Arabidopsis thaliana: one gene and its partners. The protein of the gene in region 1 interacts with the protein of each later gene in a biochemical or structural test. Each region holds a gene or a part of one and is shown in the gene's direction. Other genes may lie near its edges.

Evidence for each region.
Region 2: the proteins of PHYA (region 1) and FHY1 form a complex in vitro, tested with the Arabidopsis thaliana proteins (2 studies listed by BioGRID, with this or other methods).
Region 3: the proteins of PHYA (region 1) and PIL5 form a complex in vitro, tested with the Arabidopsis thaliana proteins (3 studies listed by BioGRID).
Region 4: the proteins of PHYA (region 1) and AT2G37680 form a complex in vitro, tested with the Arabidopsis thaliana proteins (one study listed by BioGRID).

Annotation. Positions count from the first base shown.
Region 1 is NC_003070.9:3,094,696-3,101,634, reverse strand, and holds PHYA (phytochrome A), read left to right. Parts: upstream 1-1,804; 5' UTR 1,805-2,207; coding exon 2,208-2,212; intron 2,213-2,411; coding exon 2,412-4,477; intron 4,478-4,675; coding exon 4,676-5,492; intron 5,493-5,562; coding exon 5,563-5,853; intron 5,854-5,935; coding exon 5,936-6,137; 3' UTR 6,138-6,432; downstream 6,433-6,939. UniProt on the Arabidopsis thaliana protein: Regulatory photoreceptor which exists in two forms that are reversibly interconvertible by light: the Pr form that absorbs maximally in the red region of the spectrum and the Pfr form that absorbs maximally in the far-red region.
Region 2 is NC_003071.7:15,800,867-15,804,304, reverse strand, and holds FHY1 (far-red elongated hypocotyl 1), read left to right. Parts: upstream 1-1,511; 5' UTR 1,512-1,608; coding exon 1,609-1,661; intron 1,662-1,982; coding exon 1,983-2,458; coding exon of another isoform or gene 2,459-2,484; exon of another isoform or gene 2,485-2,536; coding exon 2,537-2,616; 3' UTR 2,617-2,887; downstream 2,888-3,438. Other genes in the region: AT2G37680 (glucose-induced degradation-like protein), read left to right, coding at 80-153, 239-293, 366-428, 525-652, 727-805. UniProt on the Arabidopsis thaliana protein: Key regulator of far red / red (FR/R) spectrum-specific responses essential for the adaption to changing light conditions (e.g. de-etiolation), essentially by regulating PHYA shuttling from the cytoplasm to the nucleus and by directly regulating the expression of some target genes, depending on light conditions and phosphorylation status.
Region 3 is NC_003071.7:8,703,477-8,708,571, reverse strand, and holds PIL5 (phytochrome interacting factor 3-like 5), read left to right. Parts: upstream 1-1,567; 5' UTR 1,568-1,787; exon of another isoform or gene 1,788-2,023; 5' UTR 2,024-2,033; coding exon 2,034-2,131; intron 2,132-2,219; coding exon 2,220-2,925; intron 2,926-3,057; coding exon 3,058-3,135; intron 3,136-3,224; coding exon 3,225-3,290; intron 3,291-3,372; coding exon 3,373-3,438; coding exon of another isoform or gene 3,439-3,453; intron 3,454-3,544; coding exon 3,545-3,883; intron 3,884-3,963; coding exon 3,964-4,047; 3' UTR 4,048-4,132; intron 4,133-4,212; coding exon of another isoform or gene 4,213-4,296; 3' UTR 4,297-4,548; downstream 4,549-5,095. UniProt on the Arabidopsis thaliana protein: Transcription activator. Negatively regulates chlorophyll biosynthesis and seed germination in the dark, and lightinduced degradation of PIF1 relieves this negative regulation to promote photomorphogenesis.
Region 4 is NC_003071.7:15,802,743-15,807,444, reverse strand, and holds AT2G37680 (glucose-induced degradation-like protein), read left to right. Parts: upstream 1-1,771; 5' UTR 1,772-1,842; coding exon 1,843-1,975; intron 1,976-2,074; coding exon 2,075-2,133; intron 2,134-2,983; coding exon 2,984-3,127; intron 3,128-3,219; coding exon 3,220-3,293; intron 3,294-3,378; coding exon 3,379-3,433; intron 3,434-3,505; coding exon 3,506-3,568; intron 3,569-3,664; coding exon 3,665-3,792; intron 3,793-3,866; coding exon 3,867-3,945; 3' UTR 3,946-4,202; downstream 4,203-4,702. Other genes in the region: AT2G37690 (phosphoribosylaminoimidazole carboxylase, putative / AIR carboxylase), read right to left, coding at 1-7, 112-174, 269-380, 476-697, 1,105-1,334.

The DNA of each region.
Region 1 (6,939 bases):
ATTTTCGTATATAGATTATTGGCCTTGTTTCACACAAATACACACATTAAAAACCGAGAAAACACATGGTAATGAACAGTTGTTTTGAGAGTTCAATATCAAAAGAGTGAAAATGAAATAGCTCTCAAAGGGCGCCTTAAAGTTCCAAACCATCACATCCCTAGTGATTGAAGCGTTCTTGGCCGGCCATTAAGAAGTCTCCTAAGCTCATATTTGTTTTGTTCTTCAAAGTGTTATTCCTGAAATGGGATTAGTACCTTTTGCCAATTCAGATATGTGCAACATGGGCCATGACTATGTCTAATGGATGATACTGTGTTGCTAGGACAACATTTGCATTATGGAGGCACATTTTTGGTCCAACATAGCTGTGCCACAATATCTATGCTGAATTGCGCTGTCTAGATAAGACGTTGTCGATTCGATCTTCTCCGGAGATTTACTGCAAAAAACTTAGGGGGAGATTTAACTTTAAGAGGATAGAAGCAAAATACCTAAGAAAACATGGTAACGTGGATTTGCGATAAGAACGAATCGAAGTTTGACAATGATGTTAAAACGATATGGATTTTGTTTGACGAAAAAAAAATAAAACCTTAATAACGATTTTTTTACCCTTTTTATATAAAAAATAAAACAAATTTAAATTCTTCGAATAAACTTAAATTAGTTTTACAAATTTTATTACTTTCTTTCAACGATAAAAAAAAATACAAAAAAGGAAAGTCCCAACTTTGAAGTAAATCCCAGAAACAGATTACAAAACGCAAAAAGCCGAGAAAACGTGAAGCCCATAAGACTATCGTTGTCGTCTTCCTCAAAACCCAACTTTCTACTTCTGGTTACTGCCTTCATTAAACAACTACCACCATCTTTCTTTCTCTCTCTCTTTCTCGTTTTTTTATTTTATTAATAATCTTTTTTTTTTTTTTTACTTTTGATCTCTTATCCTTTGGACGATTCTCTTCAATCGGATTTATAAGAATCAACCCCATTTTGTTCTTCTTCCACTTTACTTCTTTTTTCCTCATTACACAGTCTTAGTCACATCGGTGAAAATATCAATTAATATTCCCCAGAAAGTTGCCAAGATTTACAAGTAGTAGTACTTGATATATCTTAAGCCCACTGTTCTGTTTTAGCGAGGAAAATGTTACCGGCGAAGCCGACCCTGTTCTTGATATGTGTGTGAAGTTTGTCTTTTATCCAAATTAAGCTTTTTTCTTCTTTTATTTTATTCCATTATAAAATATACAAATCGCCCATACTCCGAGACATGGGCATACGTATTCGGGGTGGTCCCATTCATCGTCGTCGTCTGTGTTAGGGAGCACAAATAATAGAGAGGCGTAGCACAAGAGAGAAGGTGGTGATCGAGGCCAAGATTTAGAATTTAACTATAACAAAAAGCCTCTGACGAGTGTGACTAGTCACAAGATCTGATCATGGCTTCTTGAAACTTCTTCTTCTTCTTTCTTCTCTTTAAAGGTACCTACTTTCCTTTTCCCAAAGTTTCCTCCTTTTTTTTCTTTTTTTAACTATATATATTGAAGCTTGCTTCGATTGATTTCTGCTGGGAGCTTACCAGCTAGCTACTGGTCTCACTCTTCTTACTGAAATTGATTCTAACTTTGAAGTTAATTTCTTAAAGCTATCCTCTGTTGTCATCAATACCCTCTTGTTTTCTGCGATATAAAGGTTTTGTAGGTCTCTTTCGATCTGGCTTGATGTGTGTTTGTTTTACTCAACTTTTTATAGTGTGTGATCATTTATGAGAAGAAGCATCCAATTAATTAATCTCATCCTTTTATCGCTTTTAACTCCTACGATTGCTTTCCCTGTGGGGACTTTATTGTTCCTTTTGAAAGGTATAGCTAGCTATAAAGACTCTTAAGAGTTTATTATTGAGTCTACTTTATGTATGTAGCTGTGTTTGAATCTTGAGAGGCTGATATTAGCTCAGATCCTCGTTTTGTTAGTATTTGTGTAGTGGATTTACCCTGTTAACTATCAACTATTATTTGTGCGACTTGTTCATAGTCAAGATGTTGTTGATTTTGGATTGTAGGATGACTTAGAAAGGAAGTGTTCATGGAATCTGACTGGTTCAGTTACTTTGAAAATGATAAATCATTGAACCTTGGAATATGACACGATGATTCCTGCATCTGTTGCGTCCTGTTTCTGGGTTTAGCTATGTATTCTCGATGGAGTTAGTCAAGTTCATAACTCTTTTTACTGTGTGTTTGAAATTCTGAATTGGTTCTTAGTGTTTCAAGTTTATGCTTATGCATTCGCTTGTATGACTGGTGATGAATGTTTTTGTGTTCATATGATTATGGCATGAATGTTTTATTCCCTCTTTTATCAGAGTTTTGCACTTATTTTTTGTTGTCTTGTCTCTGTGTCAGGAAAAAAATGTCAGGCTCTAGGCCGACTCAGTCCTCTGAGGGCTCAAGGCGATCAAGGCACAGCGCTAGGATCATTGCGCAGACCACTGTAGATGCGAAACTCCATGCTGATTTTGAGGAGTCAGGCAGCTCCTTTGATTACTCAACCTCAGTGCGTGTCACTGGCCCGGTTGTGGAGAATCAGCCACCAAGGTCTGACAAAGTTACCACGACTTATCTTCATCATATACAGAAGGGAAAGCTGATTCAGCCCTTCGGTTGTTTACTTGCCTTGGATGAGAAGACCTTCAAAGTTATTGCATACAGCGAGAATGCATCTGAGCTGTTGACAATGGCCAGTCATGCAGTTCCTAGTGTTGGCGAACACCCTGTTCTAGGCATTGGGACAGATATAAGGAGTCTTTTCACTGCTCCTAGTGCGTCTGCATTGCAGAAAGCCCTTGGATTTGGAGATGTCTCTCTTTTGAATCCCATTCTTGTGCACTGCAGGACTTCTGCAAAGCCCTTTTATGCGATTATCCACAGGGTTACAGGGAGCATCATCATCGACTTTGAACCCGTGAAGCCTTATGAAGTCCCCATGACAGCTGCTGGTGCCTTACAATCATACAAGCTCGCTGCCAAAGCAATCACTAGGCTGCAATCTTTACCCAGCGGGAGTATGGAAAGGCTTTGTGATACAATGGTTCAAGAGGTTTTTGAACTCACGGGGTATGACAGGGTGATGGCTTATAAGTTTCATGAAGATGATCACGGTGAGGTTGTCTCCGAGGTTACAAAACCTGGGCTGGAGCCTTATCTTGGGCTGCATTATCCTGCCACCGACATCCCTCAAGCAGCCCGTTTTCTGTTTATGAAGAACAAGGTCCGGATGATAGTTGATTGCAATGCAAAACATGCTAGGGTGCTTCAAGATGAAAAGCTTTCCTTTGACCTTACCTTGTGTGGCTCCACCCTTAGAGCACCGCACAGCTGCCATTTGCAGTACATGGCCAACATGGATTCAATTGCATCTCTGGTTATGGCGGTTGTAGTTAACGAGGAAGATGGAGAAGGGGATGCTCCTGATGCTACTACACAGCCTCAAAAGAGAAAGAGACTATGGGGTTTAGTGGTTTGTCACAATACGACTCCGAGGTTTGTTCCATTTCCTCTCAGGTATGCCTGTGAGTTTCTAGCTCAAGTGTTTGCCATACACGTCAATAAGGAGGTGGAACTCGATAACCAGATGGTGGAGAAGAACATTTTGCGCACGCAGACACTCTTGTGCGATATGCTGATGCGTGATGCTCCACTGGGTATTGTGTCGCAAAGCCCCAACATAATGGACCTTGTGAAATGTGATGGAGCAGCTCTCTTGTATAAAGACAAGATATGGAAACTGGGAACAACTCCAAGTGAGTTCCACCTGCAGGAGATAGCTTCATGGTTGTGTGAATACCACATGGATTCAACGGGTTTGAGCACTGATAGTTTGCATGACGCCGGGTTTCCTAGGGCTCTATCTCTCGGGGATTCGGTATGTGGGATGGCAGCTGTGAGGATATCATCGAAAGACATGATTTTCTGGTTCCGTTCTCATACCGCTGGTGAAGTGAGATGGGGAGGTGCGAAGCATGATCCAGATGATAGGGATGATGCAAGGAGAATGCACCCAAGGTCATCGTTCAAGGCTTTCCTTGAAGTGGTCAAGACAAGGAGTTTACCTTGGAAGGACTATGAGATGGATGCCATACACTCCTTGCAACTTATTTTGAGGAATGCTTTCAAGGATAGTGAAACTACTGATGTGAATACAAAGGTCATTTACTCGAAGCTAAATGATCTCAAAATTGATGGTATACAAGAACTAGAAGCTGTGACCAGTGAGATGGTTCGTTTAATTGAGACTGCTACGGTGCCAATATTGGCGGTTGATTCTGATGGACTGGTTAATGGTTGGAACACGAAAATTGCTGAGCTGACTGGTCTTTCGGTTGATGAAGCAATCGGGAAGCATTTCCTCACACTTGTTGAAGATTCTTCAGTGGAAATCGTTAAAAGGATGCTAGAGAACGCATTAGAAGGTAAACTCTCTTCCTAAGTTATGCTGAGTTTGCTAAGAATCTTCCAACTAGATTTCACTATTCAAGTTCCAATTGAGTATCGTGGTCGAAGAAACTTGATGCAATGTGTTGTTTTTGGTTCTTAATGATGGAATTTTGTTTTCCAATTTTATCAAACACTGAAGCCGAGTCTATAACTTCACTTGCTTATCTATGCAGGAACTGAGGAGCAGAATGTCCAGTTTGAGATCAAGACACATCTGTCCAGGGCTGATGCTGGGCCAATAAGTTTAGTTGTAAATGCATGCGCAAGTAGAGATCTCCATGAAAACGTGGTTGGGGTGTGTTTTGTAGCCCATGATCTTACTGGCCAGAAGACTGTGATGGACAAGTTTACGCGGATTGAAGGTGATTACAAGGCAATCATCCAAAATCCAAACCCGCTGATCCCGCCAATATTTGGTACCGATGAGTTTGGATGGTGCACAGAGTGGAATCCAGCAATGTCAAAGTTAACCGGTTTGAAGCGAGAGGAAGTGATTGACAAAATGCTCTTAGGAGAAGTATTTGGGACGCAGAAGTCATGTTGTCGTCTAAAGAATCAAGAAGCCTTTGTAAACCTTGGGATTGTGCTGAACAATGCTGTGACCAGTCAAGATCCAGAGAAAGTATCGTTTGCTTTCTTTACAAGAGGTGGCAAGTATGTGGAGTGTCTGTTGTGTGTGAGTAAGAAACTGGACAGGGAAGGTGTAGTGACAGGTGTCTTCTGTTTCCTGCAACTTGCCAGCCATGAGCTGCAGCAAGCGCTCCATGTTCAACGTTTAGCTGAGCGAACCGCAGTGAAGAGACTAAAGGCTCTAGCATACATAAAAAGACAGATCAGGAATCCGCTATCTGGGATCATGTTTACAAGGAAAATGATAGAGGGTACTGAATTAGGACCAGAGCAAAGACGGATTTTGCAAACTAGCGCGTTATGTCAGAAGCAACTAAGCAAGATCCTCGATGATTCGGATCTTGAAAGCATCATTGAAGGGTATGCTAGAATGAAAGTCCATTTAAAATATGGTTTATCTGTGTTCTTATGTTGGAATTTGACTGTGCAGATGCTTGGATTTGGAAATGAAAGAATTCACCTTAAATGAAGTGTTGACTGCTTCCACAAGTCAAGTAATGATGAAGAGTAACGGAAAGAGTGTTCGGATAACAAATGAGACCGGAGAAGAAGTAATGTCTGACACTTTGTATGGAGACAGTATTAGGCTTCAACAAGTCTTGGCAGATTTCATGCTGATGGCTGTAAACTTTACACCATCCGGAGGTCAGCTAACTGTTTCAGCTTCCCTGAGGAAGGATCAGCTCGGGCGTTCTGTGCATCTTGCTAATCTAGAGATCAGGTAAAATAGATATATTCATAATCAGAATGCATAATATGATGTTAAAAACAGTGCATTGAGGATATTGGGATTATGAAAACAGGTTAACGCATACCGGAGCTGGGATACCTGAGTTTTTACTAAACCAAATGTTTGGGACTGAGGAAGATGTGTCAGAAGAAGGATTGAGCTTAATGGTTAGCCGGAAACTGGTGAAGCTGATGAATGGAGATGTTCAGTACTTGAGACAAGCTGGGAAATCAAGTTTCATTATCACTGCGGAACTCGCTGCAGCAAACAAGTAGTCCCCAAAAGAAAAGGGGTCTGGCTTGATATAAAATAGTCACTGGTTGTTCTTTGCTTGTAACTTTCCTTATCGCTTTTGTTTTCGTTTTCAAATTTCAGTAACGATGAAATATCCATCCATTTACATCTTCTGTTGAACTCTTTTCTGAAGCTGTAAATATGGATGCATATCTAATCTCCTCCTGAGTGTTTTGGTTTCATGATGTATCATTCAAAATAAGTAATATAGGAGAAATGAGCTAATGTTTACGGTCCATGGTTTATCATAATGGCAGAAACTCAAACAAATATTCTATCTAGTTTCATATAATCTCCTTCTTTTAAGGTATTAGAGGTAATGCATGATTCGTGACTATGTTGCAAGAAGTCTTGGTTTCAAACAATTAGCTTTGGCTCAACTCCATGAAGAAGCAAACATAGTTCTTCGAACTTAACAGAGATCTATTAGCTGGCCATATGAAGTACACTTAGTTTTCTGTTAGAAGAAGCACATGGTGTGTGAAGTAAAAAATAAGTTATCATGTTAATTAAGTAATCAGTTTTATTAGACCCATACGTTAAGAGTCTCTCAAGTTGATTATTTTATCTGAAAAGTCAGATAAATTAGCTTACCTGTTTTGAAAGCTTTTAGATTAGATCAACCTCGACTTCTTACCTGTCTTTAGTCAACTTTGAACAAAAAATAATATGGATTATACAAGAAGACGAATACATGAGACTATGGAGCTCAAATGCACACTGAAGATCATCAGTTATTGTTCCTTTTTTATTACAGAAGACAAATCAAAGAAGATAAAAAGA
Region 2 (3,438 bases), on another chromosome or scaffold:
CTCTTACTCATTTTTTCTTCATATTGCTTCCCCTTGAATTTCTAATAGGGGACACGATTCTTGATTCTGTGAGTGTCAGGTCATAACATTCTGGGAAGGGGAAATCGTTGATGGAAAGAATTATACCTTTTACACCGGAAAATGGGAAGCAACGTATGTCCCAATTCCTATATTCTTGTAGATTTGAAACTGATGATTTCTTATCGTGAATAAATTTTTGAAAGTTTGTTTGTCACAGGAGGGAAGATGATATGAGACATTGGTCAAAGTTCCCGTCTTTTTCGCCTCTTCAGGTAACACTCGAGTAACATTGTTTGTATAGTCAGTAACATCTCCTAAGCAACGTTCTGGACTTAATACTGCAGGGACAAGTTGAATCTGATGGTGGCAGGCAATTGGATCTTAACAATTATCCTTATATATTTATGGTATAACTCTCAGTTTTTCCTATCGAATCCAATCATCATTTTCTCTCAAGTATTCCATAATTCCTGCAACTCGGGTTTATTTTTGTGGTGGTGCAGAGATGGAAAGAGCAATACTTTGTAAACGTTGGCACAGATTGTGGACTAACAATAGCTGGATTTTACTACGTATGCTTCTCCTGCAGCGATGGTTCCATCAGCGGTTTCTATTATGATCCAAACAGCAGGTTAGTCCAAGATACAAACTATATAATCTGTTGTTGTTTGAGATAAAACCTGATGATATTTTGTTTCTGGACAGTCCGTTTCAGAAGCTGGAGCTGAAAACAGTTAACGAAGGAAGATCTGGTTTCAGCTTTTCTTCTTACGAGTTGCAATGATGAATGCTACCAAAATCATCAGACAGCGCCATATGATACTCTCGTCTAAACATGCGATGCACGTGATCCAGTACATTATGACGTGTCAATTATTATAAATTATTAGTAAGATATTTTTTTGCTTAGCTAGTAGACCAGACCAAGTAAAGAACTAAAAATACTATTTTGTCATTATGGTACCAAGCTAATAGTTTATCTGGAAAAAGAACAAATTGTCCAAAAAAATAATTACCAAATAGTTGAGAAGTTTTTCTAAAAATTTTTGTAAAAAAAATCCAAATTCTTCTAAAATTAAGTTTTTAATAGAAATTTAAAAAGACAGTTCTACATCATATTATTTTCTTTAAATAATGATATAAAATTTATAAACTATTATCTTTGTAAGATAATGAATATTTATACCTATGTAAGGGAAAAATTGATAAATATTTATACATCCTCATCCAAAAGCCCATAAAATCGTTATGGGACAATAGTAAAAAAGATTGCAAAATCGTATGGAGCGAAAGATAAAAATAAAAAACGGTCCCGTGTAAGAAGATGGGTCACCTCGCCAACACGTAGACTCTTTTCACGCGCCAAATCAAACACCATGTCGACGAGATCAACGGATTCAAATGTTTCGTGTAATACACGCTCCAACGTAGCGCGTCGTACACTTGATGCTTAATTTATGTATTTTAAGTTACGCAGTTTCCAGATTTTCAGACCCTCTGAAAGTGGAAAGAGCATTTTTTAAAAGAGTAATAAGAAAAACAATTATCTTTGAACTCTCTCTATCTCTCTCTCTCTCTCTGCGATCTATGCCTGAAGTGGAAGTGGATAACAACAACGAGAAGCCATCTGAGATTAACAGGTTTCAGTTTCTCAATCTATTCCTATATATTATCATTAGAGATCAAATTTCTTATTATGCTTCTTCTCAGTTTCTTTAAGATACAGAGGATTGACTGATTATGTATGTATTCATGTCAATGGTTGACCAAAAATCATAGCTGCAGAGGATGATTGAAGTTTTATCTTGATTTTAGCTTATTTAATCGTTGAGATTAAGAAAGTTTTCCTGTTATTCTTTCCTAAACCCTTATTAAGTTCAAGATTAATAAAGTCAATTTCATATATTTGGTGATTAAGATCCATCCACTATCTTAATATGTGTTGTTCTTTTTTTTTGCAGTTTCCATCACATGATCATAAGTAGTAGTAAAAATGTGTTGAAAATGGAAGAAGTTGAGGTGAGCAAGAAGAGGAAATTTCAGACAGATCAATCTGATGAGTTATCGTTATTACCTCTGTCAAAACACACTTGTTTTGCCAATGTTGCTTGTTCAGAGAATACAAATGGTAACTCGGAGATTGATACAGAGTATTCAATGTCTTCTTATGTGAACTCAACAACTTCTATGGAGTGTAACAATGATATAGAGATGAAAGAGGAATCATCTGGATCATGCGGTGAAGACAAGATGATCTCTTTCGAAAGCCATCTAGATTACATCTATGGGACTCAGAACTTAGAGGATTTTTCAGAGAAAGTCATTGAAAACATTCTCTATCTCGATGAACAAGAAGAAGAAGAGGAAGATGCTAAAGGATGTAGTAGTAATGCTGCTAAGTTTGTTCTGTCCTCTGGAAGATGGACTGTTAACCAAGGTAAAGAAAACCGGATTTTGGTTTGACCGTATTGATTCAATGAACCGGGGATTCACTAACTTGGTTTCATGTGTACAGATGATTCTACTCTACATGAGACAAAGAAGCCTACCATTGATCAAGAATTTGAACAATACTTCTCAACGCTAATGCTGTAACAAAATGATGTTGAGACTCAAAACATATATGAAGAGATGTATGTACATAGAACTGTACTCGTTCTGTTTTGATTCTTGTCAACCTTAAAAAAACGTTCAATTCAAAGTGATTAGAGAGCTTCTTTGAAATGTTTGCAACTCTAGTCTTCAACTTTTAAGATTTTTATTAGCTTGCAAAACTAATCTTGCTTATATATCTTGTTCTGCCTGGATCAGAAATAAAAGTTAGTATAAAAAAATTCTGAGATGATTATGACACTCTGATCCTTCATATGAACCAATCTTGTGTTCAAGAGTATCCCTGATGTATTTCAGTACCAACTTAACTGAGAAATGAGAGTCAATGTTCTTTAATAAGTTTGTTCAGATGATATCTTCTTCTTTTTTTGGTTGGTCACCTATATTCAATCTGCTCTCTCCAAATTATCTCCAATACACTCTCTTCTGAACATAATACAAAAATTCATAACTTTTTCTTATTATGGTCAAAAGTCTTGTTAATATTCAACTTGTTCCTTTCTAATGTAAAATCTAAACTGATTTAATAAAGAAAAAGATGATAGCTTATTGATATTCTTCCTAGTAAAACATTTTGGCATGATGGTCAAGACTCAAGATTTGCTAGAATGTGGTTCCCTCGCATTATCAGTCTTCTTGGTCAATGTCTAGTAGTTTTAAATTCGCTATAAAAATAGCAAAAAAAAACAAAAACAAAAAATTGTTGATTAAAAAGAAATTAACACCAAACTTTAAAAATAGTTATCCTTAGTAATTTTATGTAAGTATCTTTAACACGTAAAGTCGAACATAGTATATGATTTT
Region 3 (5,095 bases), on another chromosome or scaffold:
ATCTGATTCTCTGTTTCTTTCTTCCCTACTTGGAATTATATAAAAATATGTATATACATATTAATGTGTATATATATATATATATGTGCGTGTTCCCATATCAATGATAAATGCTCTTTATCAAAAGGTAAAATGATTATAAAAAAAAATAAGTTGTTTCATTTTATTTGTTGTTTTCAATGCAAAATTTATTATTATTTTATTATTTTTGATTCTTGAAATTCTGCAACTTTTTATTGGTTAAATTATTTTAAAATATGTAATTAAACATATTTTTAAAATTTAAGAAAACAGAAACTAAATGATCTTAATCAATGTACCAAAATCTTAAACTAGAACAAAATAGAAACAAAAGAAGTATTATAGAAGAAATTAACACTTTGTTCACTAACTTGACTACTATAAATGATTATAAATTAACACTTTATGTAGCATTCGACTTTTCTGTTTATAGAAGAGGAGACTCACTTAAGTCTTTAATATCATGTTTGCATATGTTGTAGTCTTTTGTTTTTAACATCTTTGGATTGACATGGTCTATTCTATAGCCAATATCTATTATGCAAGATAACACGATTTAGTGGAGTCAAACTCTGGTGGAAAAAGCGGAATCAAATGGATTTAACCACAAGACTAAAGGAATATTTCCTGCAAGATATATGTAGTCTTAAATCTATAATTTAGCGATATAAAAAAGGACAATTTTTAAATATGATACTTAAGTTTTTGTTTATTTCTTTAAAAATACCACTTAATGTTTGGTTTCTTAAAATAACATAAAACTTAAATTTAACTTCCAACATTCAAAATTAAACTCTAAACTTTAAACACTAAACCCTAACCCCTAAAAACAATATCTTAAAATTAAAATGGTCAATTCAAACTTAATTTTTTTAATTCTGATGAACTCTTGAAAATCAAAATTGAAGTATAATATTTTTGGAAAACAAAACTTTTGGTGGTATTTTGACAACACAACTTGAAAGTGTGATATTTTGCTACAATACTCCTCTAGAATTCGAGGCTCCCTTAAAACAAAATATTATTTTCGTGTCAGTCATATTTTTTTGAGACATTTCTCAAAATACCACATTTTCAAGTCTTATTGCTAAAATACCATTTCATCCGGTATTCGATCTTCTATCAAAAGAAAATTATATTCATGTAGGATGTCTAGGTTTGGTCCAGACAAGTTAAATGGTAATCTGGTAACATGCGATTCAGTTATGTTTAAGTGTTAATCAGTTAATATTCTAAACTCGGAATAAATGTGTGATGATCCTTGAATATAAATTTATTTTGTAATACTTAAATATATTTTTACCAAAATTAACCGGATCATTGGATAAAGTTTATAAAATAATTTTTTTTTGATGATAATGCCATGAAAACAATTTATAGTACGGATGAGAAACAATGAGGCTGATTATTTTATCTCCGTCAGCTACAAATGATCTCAGACATTTTGTTTTTATGTTCAACTTGGTTTTTTATTCAGAGGTTAAAAAATGGGCACAAGTTTCTATTCAGACACATACACACATAAATAAAATAGAGAATTCACTGTTAAAGTTAGTTGACACAATAGTAAATGCGATACATGCTAGAGTCACGGAAGAGGCAAAAACAAACTCCAAAGAGAGACATATAAGAAAAAGACAAAAACCCTTAAGAAGCTTATCACATTCTTAAAGCACGAAAATTCAGAATAAGATTCAGTCATCCTTTAGCACAAAAAAAAAAAAAAAAAGATCCAGTCATCCAATACTAGTTCCCCAGAAATAAAGGTGATATATTTTTTTTTTTGAGAAGCCTATCCAGTACCAACCTCAATTCTCTAGGTTAGATATAGTCTGGGTAGTATATATGTTTCTTCACTGATTAGTAATCTCTGTGTGTAGTACACTTACTCACTAGTGCTACTCTTTTGGATCTTTCTGGGGTTTTTCTTTTGGTTATAAAACCAGAAGAAGAAGATAACTGTTTGTTATTTTAATACTTACCATTATCATCATCTTTGTAGAGAGAGAGATATGCATCATTTTGTCCCTGACTTCGATACCGATGATGATTATGTCAACAACCATAATTCTTCTTTGAATCATCTTCCTAGAAAATCCATTACTACTATGTAAGTTCTTTTATTCAAACTTATATTAAAAAAAAAAAAAAGTTTGATTAGTTCAAGATCTGAGTATTTATAGTATTGAAAACTTTAGGGGTGAAGATGATGATCTTATGGAGCTTTTATGGCAGAACGGTCAAGTTGTTGTTCAAAACCAGAGACTTCACACCAAGAAACCTTCTTCTTCTCCACCGAAGCTTCTTCCTTCTATGGATCCTCAGCAGCAACCTTCTTCAGATCAGAATCTTTTTATTCAAGAAGATGAAATGACTTCTTGGCTTCATTATCCTCTCCGTGACGATGATTTCTGCTCAGATCTTCTCTTCTCCGCCGCACCTACTGCGACGGCTACCGCGACGGTGAGTCAAGTCACCGCCGCGAGACCGCCAGTATCTTCGACGAATGAGTCGAGGCCGCCGGTGAGGAACTTCATGAATTTCTCGAGGCTGAGAGGGGATTTTAATAACGGTAGAGGTGGTGAATCTGGACCGTTGCTTTCGAAGGCGGTTGTGAGAGAATCTACGCAGGTAAGTCCTAGCGCAACACCGTCGGCGGCGGCGAGTGAATCCGGTTTAACACGGCGGACGGATGGTACTGACAGTTCCGCCGTAGCTGGAGGCGGCGCGTATAATCGGAAGGGAAAAGCAGTGGCTATGACGGCGCCGGCGATCGAGATAACCGGTACATCGTCATCTGTAGTGTCAAAGAGCGAAATCGAACCGGAGAAGACGAACGTCGATGATAGGAAACGAAAAGAGAGAGAAGCCACCACTACTGATGAAACTGAATCCCGTAGCGAGGTGAGTCAAAAAAACACAGAACAGAGTCGTTGTTAGCTATCGTGCGCAAGTCAAATACGGCGCATTTTAGTCTGACTTTGTAGTTTTCAGCGCATTTTTAATTAACTTTTTTGGTGTTTTCTTGTGGTGCAGGAAACAAAACAAGCACGTGTATCAACAACATCTACCAAGAGATCTCGTGCTGCTGAAGTTCATAATCTCTCTGAAAGAGTACGTTTGTGTTTTTTCTTATGTTTTTGTAATCTTTTTCGATAAAGATTTCGCAATGAATCTGAAGAATGTCGCGGATTTGGTAACAGAAACGGAGAGATAGGATCAATGAGAGAATGAAAGCTTTGCAAGAACTTATACCTCGCTGCAACAAGGTCTTCGACGATCTTTTTTCTTTCTCTTCAAGTTATTGTATACGTTAACCTTGTTACTGATTGTTGTTTCTTTGATCCTCAGTCAGATAAAGCTTCGATGCTAGATGAAGCTATTGAGTACATGAAATCTCTTCAGCTTCAAATACAGGTTCATTTTCTTTAAAGGATTCTAAGTCTTGAAAGCCCTTTTTAAGTTCTTGAAAATGTACACTTTACCATGAAAACTCCAGTTTATATGACTGAGATTAATGCAGATGATGTCAATGGGATGTGGAATGATGCCAATGATGTATCCGGGCATGCAACAGTACATGCCTCATATGGCGATGGGTATGGGTATGAACCAGCCTATTCCTCCTCCTTCCTTCATGCCATTCCCCAACATGTTAGCCGCTCAAAGACCTTTGCCTACACAAACTCACATGGCCGGGTCAGGACCGCAATACCCTGTTCATGCTTCTGACCCGTCAAGAGTCTTTGTACCGAACCAGCAGTATGATCCAACCTCGGGCCAGCCTCAGTATCCAGCTGGTTACACGGATCCATATCAGCAGTTCCGCGGTCTCCACCCGACCCAACCACCTCAGTTTCAGGTACTAAACAGTCATCTCTTTCCCAAAAATGACTAGTTCCTCTGCTTACAAGTCACAAGTTCTTATCTTTCTTATTTTAGAATCAAGCAACATCGTACCCAAGTTCGAGCAGGGTGAGTAGTAGTAAGGAATCTGAGGATCACGGAAACCACACAACAGGTTAATAATGTCCATGGAGCAACAAGAAGATCTGTTTTCACAAGCAAACACAATTTCTTATCCGACCCGACCCAACCACCTCAGTTTCAGGTACTAAACAGTCATCTTTTTCCCAAAAATGGCTAGTTCCTCTGCTTACAAGTCACAAGTTCTTATCTTTCTTATTTTAGAATCAAGCAACATCGTATCCAAGTTCGAGCAGGGTGAGTAGTAGTAAGGAATCTGAGGATCACGGAAACCACACAACAGGTTAATAATGTCCATGGAGCAACAAGAAGATCTGTTTTCACAAGCAAACACAATTTTGAGAAATTGACAGAGAGACCTAACATGTATATATATCGCCATCTGTTTCTTGTTTTTCTTTGGTTTGTTTTGTCCTCTCTTCTCAGGTTGTATACTTAGAGAGCTGTACATGTAATGATCCAGAGATCTAGGAATCAATACATAGAGGTTGCAGAGGCTTAGTGCAAAGAATAAATATGAGAAAGTTAGGTTCATATACATACCCGATCATTATTCTTTTCTCGTCTATTATTATTACTTTTGACGAAAGCAATTCTTGATTAAGCTTAACAGTGAATATTTACAAATGTTCCACTCCCAAGTCCCAAAGACTTATCGATACAAATGCACAAACAAATCTTAGTCCTTGCAACTAAGCTCACAATGTGACACAAAATATGTAAATAGACGGACAAAAGCCAGCAAACAAAAGCAAGAAAATTAATGATGTAATTGGCCAAGCATTGCCCATTTTGTAGTGTCTTTCATAGGATCTCTTCATCTAAAAACGTAGTGATGTCAACTAATATGGTATCTCCAGTCCATGACCATAATATCGAAAATATAAAGCTAAAAGAAAAGGCAAACAAATTTCTCAAACCGTTAAGACTTGCTATCTCCATGACCATAAGACTTGACAAACATGCATATATATGTATCAAACCGTTAAATCAATTTTGTATTTGCTTAATAAAGAAGATGTAAAAAGAAGTTTAACATTTATAGTATTTGAAAACTTATATATTAGTATTACTATTTCCTTATTTT
Region 4 (4,702 bases), on another chromosome or scaffold:
CGCTTATCTGATGTGGTGAGGTTTAGGGGTAAAAACAATTAACAAACTCCTCATGATTCATGGAGAACTTAATGAGTGATTCTTTCAACAAAGTATAAACAAGGGCCTAACCTCCATAAATTCTGGAAGTGGGATGCCATGCTGAGAGAAATGAACCTTTTGCATGTATTTATCCTGGAACATCAAACTGCCACATATAAATAAAATTGCTGAAAAACTTTGACTATACATAACTCCATTTGATGAAATATTTGAGAGGTTATGAAACCTGTATTATCCTAATAGTAGAAGCTTTGGGTTGGCAATCCACTCCTTGTTTCTCAAGCTTCTCTAGTGTGTCCACGTCAACATGTTCAATTTCTACAGTTAAGACTCCACATCTAACTACGACAATAAACAAAAATAACCATAAATATTGTAATGAAAATAAGAATTGAGAACCTGAAGCATTCAAGAAACAAACAAAAGAAGAGACCTTTTTGCAAATTCTTCTACTGTAGCACTGTCGTCAAAGCTATCAACCATGTGACCGTAGGACAATGCACTTGCTGAACAATTTTTAGAAGGATCTAAAATCATCACTTTGATAGCCAACTGAGAAGCAGCTTGGCAAAGCATACGACCCAATTGTCCACCCCCAAGAACTCCCACAATTTTCTCAGAAACTCCATGGACATGTTTATTCTCGCGATTCTCACTTGCAAAGAGGAAAGATAAATAACATTAGAAATTCCTTCCCCAGTCTTACTATTTTCAAATCTTTGTGTCTAGTAACAGAGAAACGAGCAGGGAAGCACAGCTAGTTTCTATATTTTATTCGTCATTGCAATTGGTGTGATGCAATCTTAACCACAACAGCTATGCAACTTCTCATGTCCATGAAACTTACAAGAAAAGAGAAATTTTTCTTCATTTTCACAGATTAATATATGCAGGCTTAATTGATATGTGGTTTAAATACAACGACTTTCACCTTTCAGCTTAATTGATCCAATCTCGTTTATCTTTTAACACACCACAATAGCCAAGAAAATAATAAGAATCGAGAAAATACTTAAGAAGAATGGTTGACACCATTATACTCAATACAGGGGACATAGGTACCTGATAGGAGAAGCATCGTGAGAGCTACAGGGCACAGCTGAAGCCGTATTCAATTTCCCAGACGAAGAAGTGGGAAGCTTCTGCAAATTTGCCATAGTCAAACTCTGGAACGACTGCGTTCTGGTCACTGGAAAAGGTCCAACTCTGTAGGTGGAGCGAGAAGTGTGAAGGACTGGAGTTGTATTTCCAACGACAAGAACAGCAGCTGAGCTTTGTTTCAAAAGCAACATCTAGAATGCTATACAAAACGGAATACTTTTAGCACCGTTTTATAAATATGCAATCAAGTAACATGAAAAAGTATGGTAGACCACAATAGAGAATGAACTCAAGCAAAACCCAAGTCAACGTCAATAGCTAAACCAATGAAAACGACGTAAGAAGCTCATGTGAATGGATTCAAGTAACATTCTTAGAGTCAATAGCTAAACTAATAAAGCCGCAGCTTCAACTTGAGAGGAAGGCAAACCTGGGTGAGAGAAGCAGCTAGACAGAGAGAGAAGTCGGAAAGTCAGGTCCAAAGGTTAGATTTTTATAAAGCAAGTTCGATAATAGAGGTGGAAAAAAGCTTCTTCCGGATTTGGAGGCGGCGGCGAGGAGAGAGAAGATCGGTCTGACGGGGAGAGAAGAAAAGGTTTTTGAGAGGTTTTATACAAAACGCAGTCGAAAACCGGAGAAGCCTAATCCGTTTTATGTATAATTTGATTCGGTTAAGAAAACCGAACCGGGTATGATGAGATGTGGTTTTTGATTAGGCTCCACGATTTGATTTGGTCGCACCAAAGATCGGATTTTTATCAGACGGAAAGGAGGAGACGGAAGAAAATGCCGGTGAGAGTTGTTGAGAGCAACACGCCTGCTCAAGTTTCAGGTTTTTGATCGCTTCTTCAAGTTTTGAATTTAGGTTTGTTTGTTTATGTTCCCTCTTTGTGGCTCTCTCGCTCATTTGTTGAGATTTGTTGCCATTTAGGAACTGATCCTGGGAATCGATCACCACTTCCCCCTAGTTCACTTCTCGGCGCTGGCCAGGTACAACGATTAATGAATTAACAAAACATGTTATTTTGCAGAAATTTATTTCTAGGATTCGTATGATACTTGGATTTTTACAAGTTTTTCTCTCAAGTGTCTGACCATAGAGGTCTTGGGAATATTGGTTAGGACTAGAAAGAACTTTATTAGTTATGCTTGTGCATCTGTGGTTATGTATGCACACTCTTTTTATGAACATAACCTTATGTGTAAGCAGAATCTGAGTATACCTATAAAGACATTATCTTAGGGGTTTTTATGTGTAAAGGTGAATTTTCTCTCAAACTTGACAAGTTCTTACTTATGAATACTTGAAATCACAAGAATAGCTAATTTTTTTATTGTTGATTCTGTCGATTGGCTGTGGTAGTTATAGAAGAAACTTTGCTTCACAAGGGTTTGCTAGTATACTTTATGTGAAATTTGTGAGAGAGAGGCTATGGTAAGATGAGAAGGAAAGTTATAAGTTTCCATGATGTTTAGCTACTTAGGTTAGCATAAAAGAACTTAAAGATCTCGTGTCTCGTTGTTCAGGCACAAAGCATCATTCATAGGCAGGCAACAAACATCATGGGTCTAGTTACTTTCTTCCCATTAGATCTGCAACTTGTTCAAGTGTTCTGGTTGCATAACGATTCTCTAGTAATGCTGATTTTTGTTATACCAATTAGAAGTTGGCCTTGTCTGCTTTGATTGGCTTCATATCTTTTTCATGTTGACATGTATGCTTAATTCAAGTGCATTTGTATCTAGTTGGGATTGTATAACATTCATTGGCTCAAAGAGATTGTTTATTCATAATGAACCTAAAGATGAGGAACACACATGTTTTTATGCTGTGCTGCAGGCATTTTCTGGTACGCAAAATGTCTCTAATCAACAGAAGGAGGAAGCTTGGAGAGTCAACGTCCAGATACAGGGTATTGACCTTGAACATGGTTATCTTTGTGGCACCATGGAAGCTCTAAACGTTCCCATGGCAGACACTCCTGTAAGCCCTTACACTCTTACTCATTTTTTCTTCATATTGCTTCCCCTTGAATTTCTAATAGGGGACACGATTCTTGATTCTGTGAGTGTCAGGTCATAACATTCTGGGAAGGGGAAATCGTTGATGGAAAGAATTATACCTTTTACACCGGAAAATGGGAAGCAACGTATGTCCCAATTCCTATATTCTTGTAGATTTGAAACTGATGATTTCTTATCGTGAATAAATTTTTGAAAGTTTGTTTGTCACAGGAGGGAAGATGATATGAGACATTGGTCAAAGTTCCCGTCTTTTTCGCCTCTTCAGGTAACACTCGAGTAACATTGTTTGTATAGTCAGTAACATCTCCTAAGCAACGTTCTGGACTTAATACTGCAGGGACAAGTTGAATCTGATGGTGGCAGGCAATTGGATCTTAACAATTATCCTTATATATTTATGGTATAACTCTCAGTTTTTCCTATCGAATCCAATCATCATTTTCTCTCAAGTATTCCATAATTCCTGCAACTCGGGTTTATTTTTGTGGTGGTGCAGAGATGGAAAGAGCAATACTTTGTAAACGTTGGCACAGATTGTGGACTAACAATAGCTGGATTTTACTACGTATGCTTCTCCTGCAGCGATGGTTCCATCAGCGGTTTCTATTATGATCCAAACAGCAGGTTAGTCCAAGATACAAACTATATAATCTGTTGTTGTTTGAGATAAAACCTGATGATATTTTGTTTCTGGACAGTCCGTTTCAGAAGCTGGAGCTGAAAACAGTTAACGAAGGAAGATCTGGTTTCAGCTTTTCTTCTTACGAGTTGCAATGATGAATGCTACCAAAATCATCAGACAGCGCCATATGATACTCTCGTCTAAACATGCGATGCACGTGATCCAGTACATTATGACGTGTCAATTATTATAAATTATTAGTAAGATATTTTTTTGCTTAGCTAGTAGACCAGACCAAGTAAAGAACTAAAAATACTATTTTGTCATTATGGTACCAAGCTAATAGTTTATCTGGAAAAAGAACAAATTGTCCAAAAAAATAATTACCAAATAGTTGAGAAGTTTTTCTAAAAATTTTTGTAAAAAAAATCCAAATTCTTCTAAAATTAAGTTTTTAATAGAAATTTAAAAAGACAGTTCTACATCATATTATTTTCTTTAAATAATGATATAAAATTTATAAACTATTATCTTTGTAAGATAATGAATATTTATACCTATGTAAGGGAAAAATTGATAAATATTTATACATCCTCATCCAAAAGCCCATAAAATCGTTATGGGACAATAGTAAAAAAGATTGCAAAATCGTATGGAGCGAAAGATAAAAATAAAAAACGGTCCCGTGTAAGAAGATGGGTCACCTCGCCAACACGTAGACTCTTTTCACGCGCCAAATCAAACACCATGTCGACGAGATCAACGGATTCAAATGTTTCGTGTAATACACGCTCCAACGTAGCGCGTCGTACACTTGATGCTTAATTTATGTATTTTAAGTTACGCAGTTTCCAGATTTTCAGACCCTCTGAAAGTGGAAAGAGCATTTTTTAAAAGAGTAATAAGAAAAAC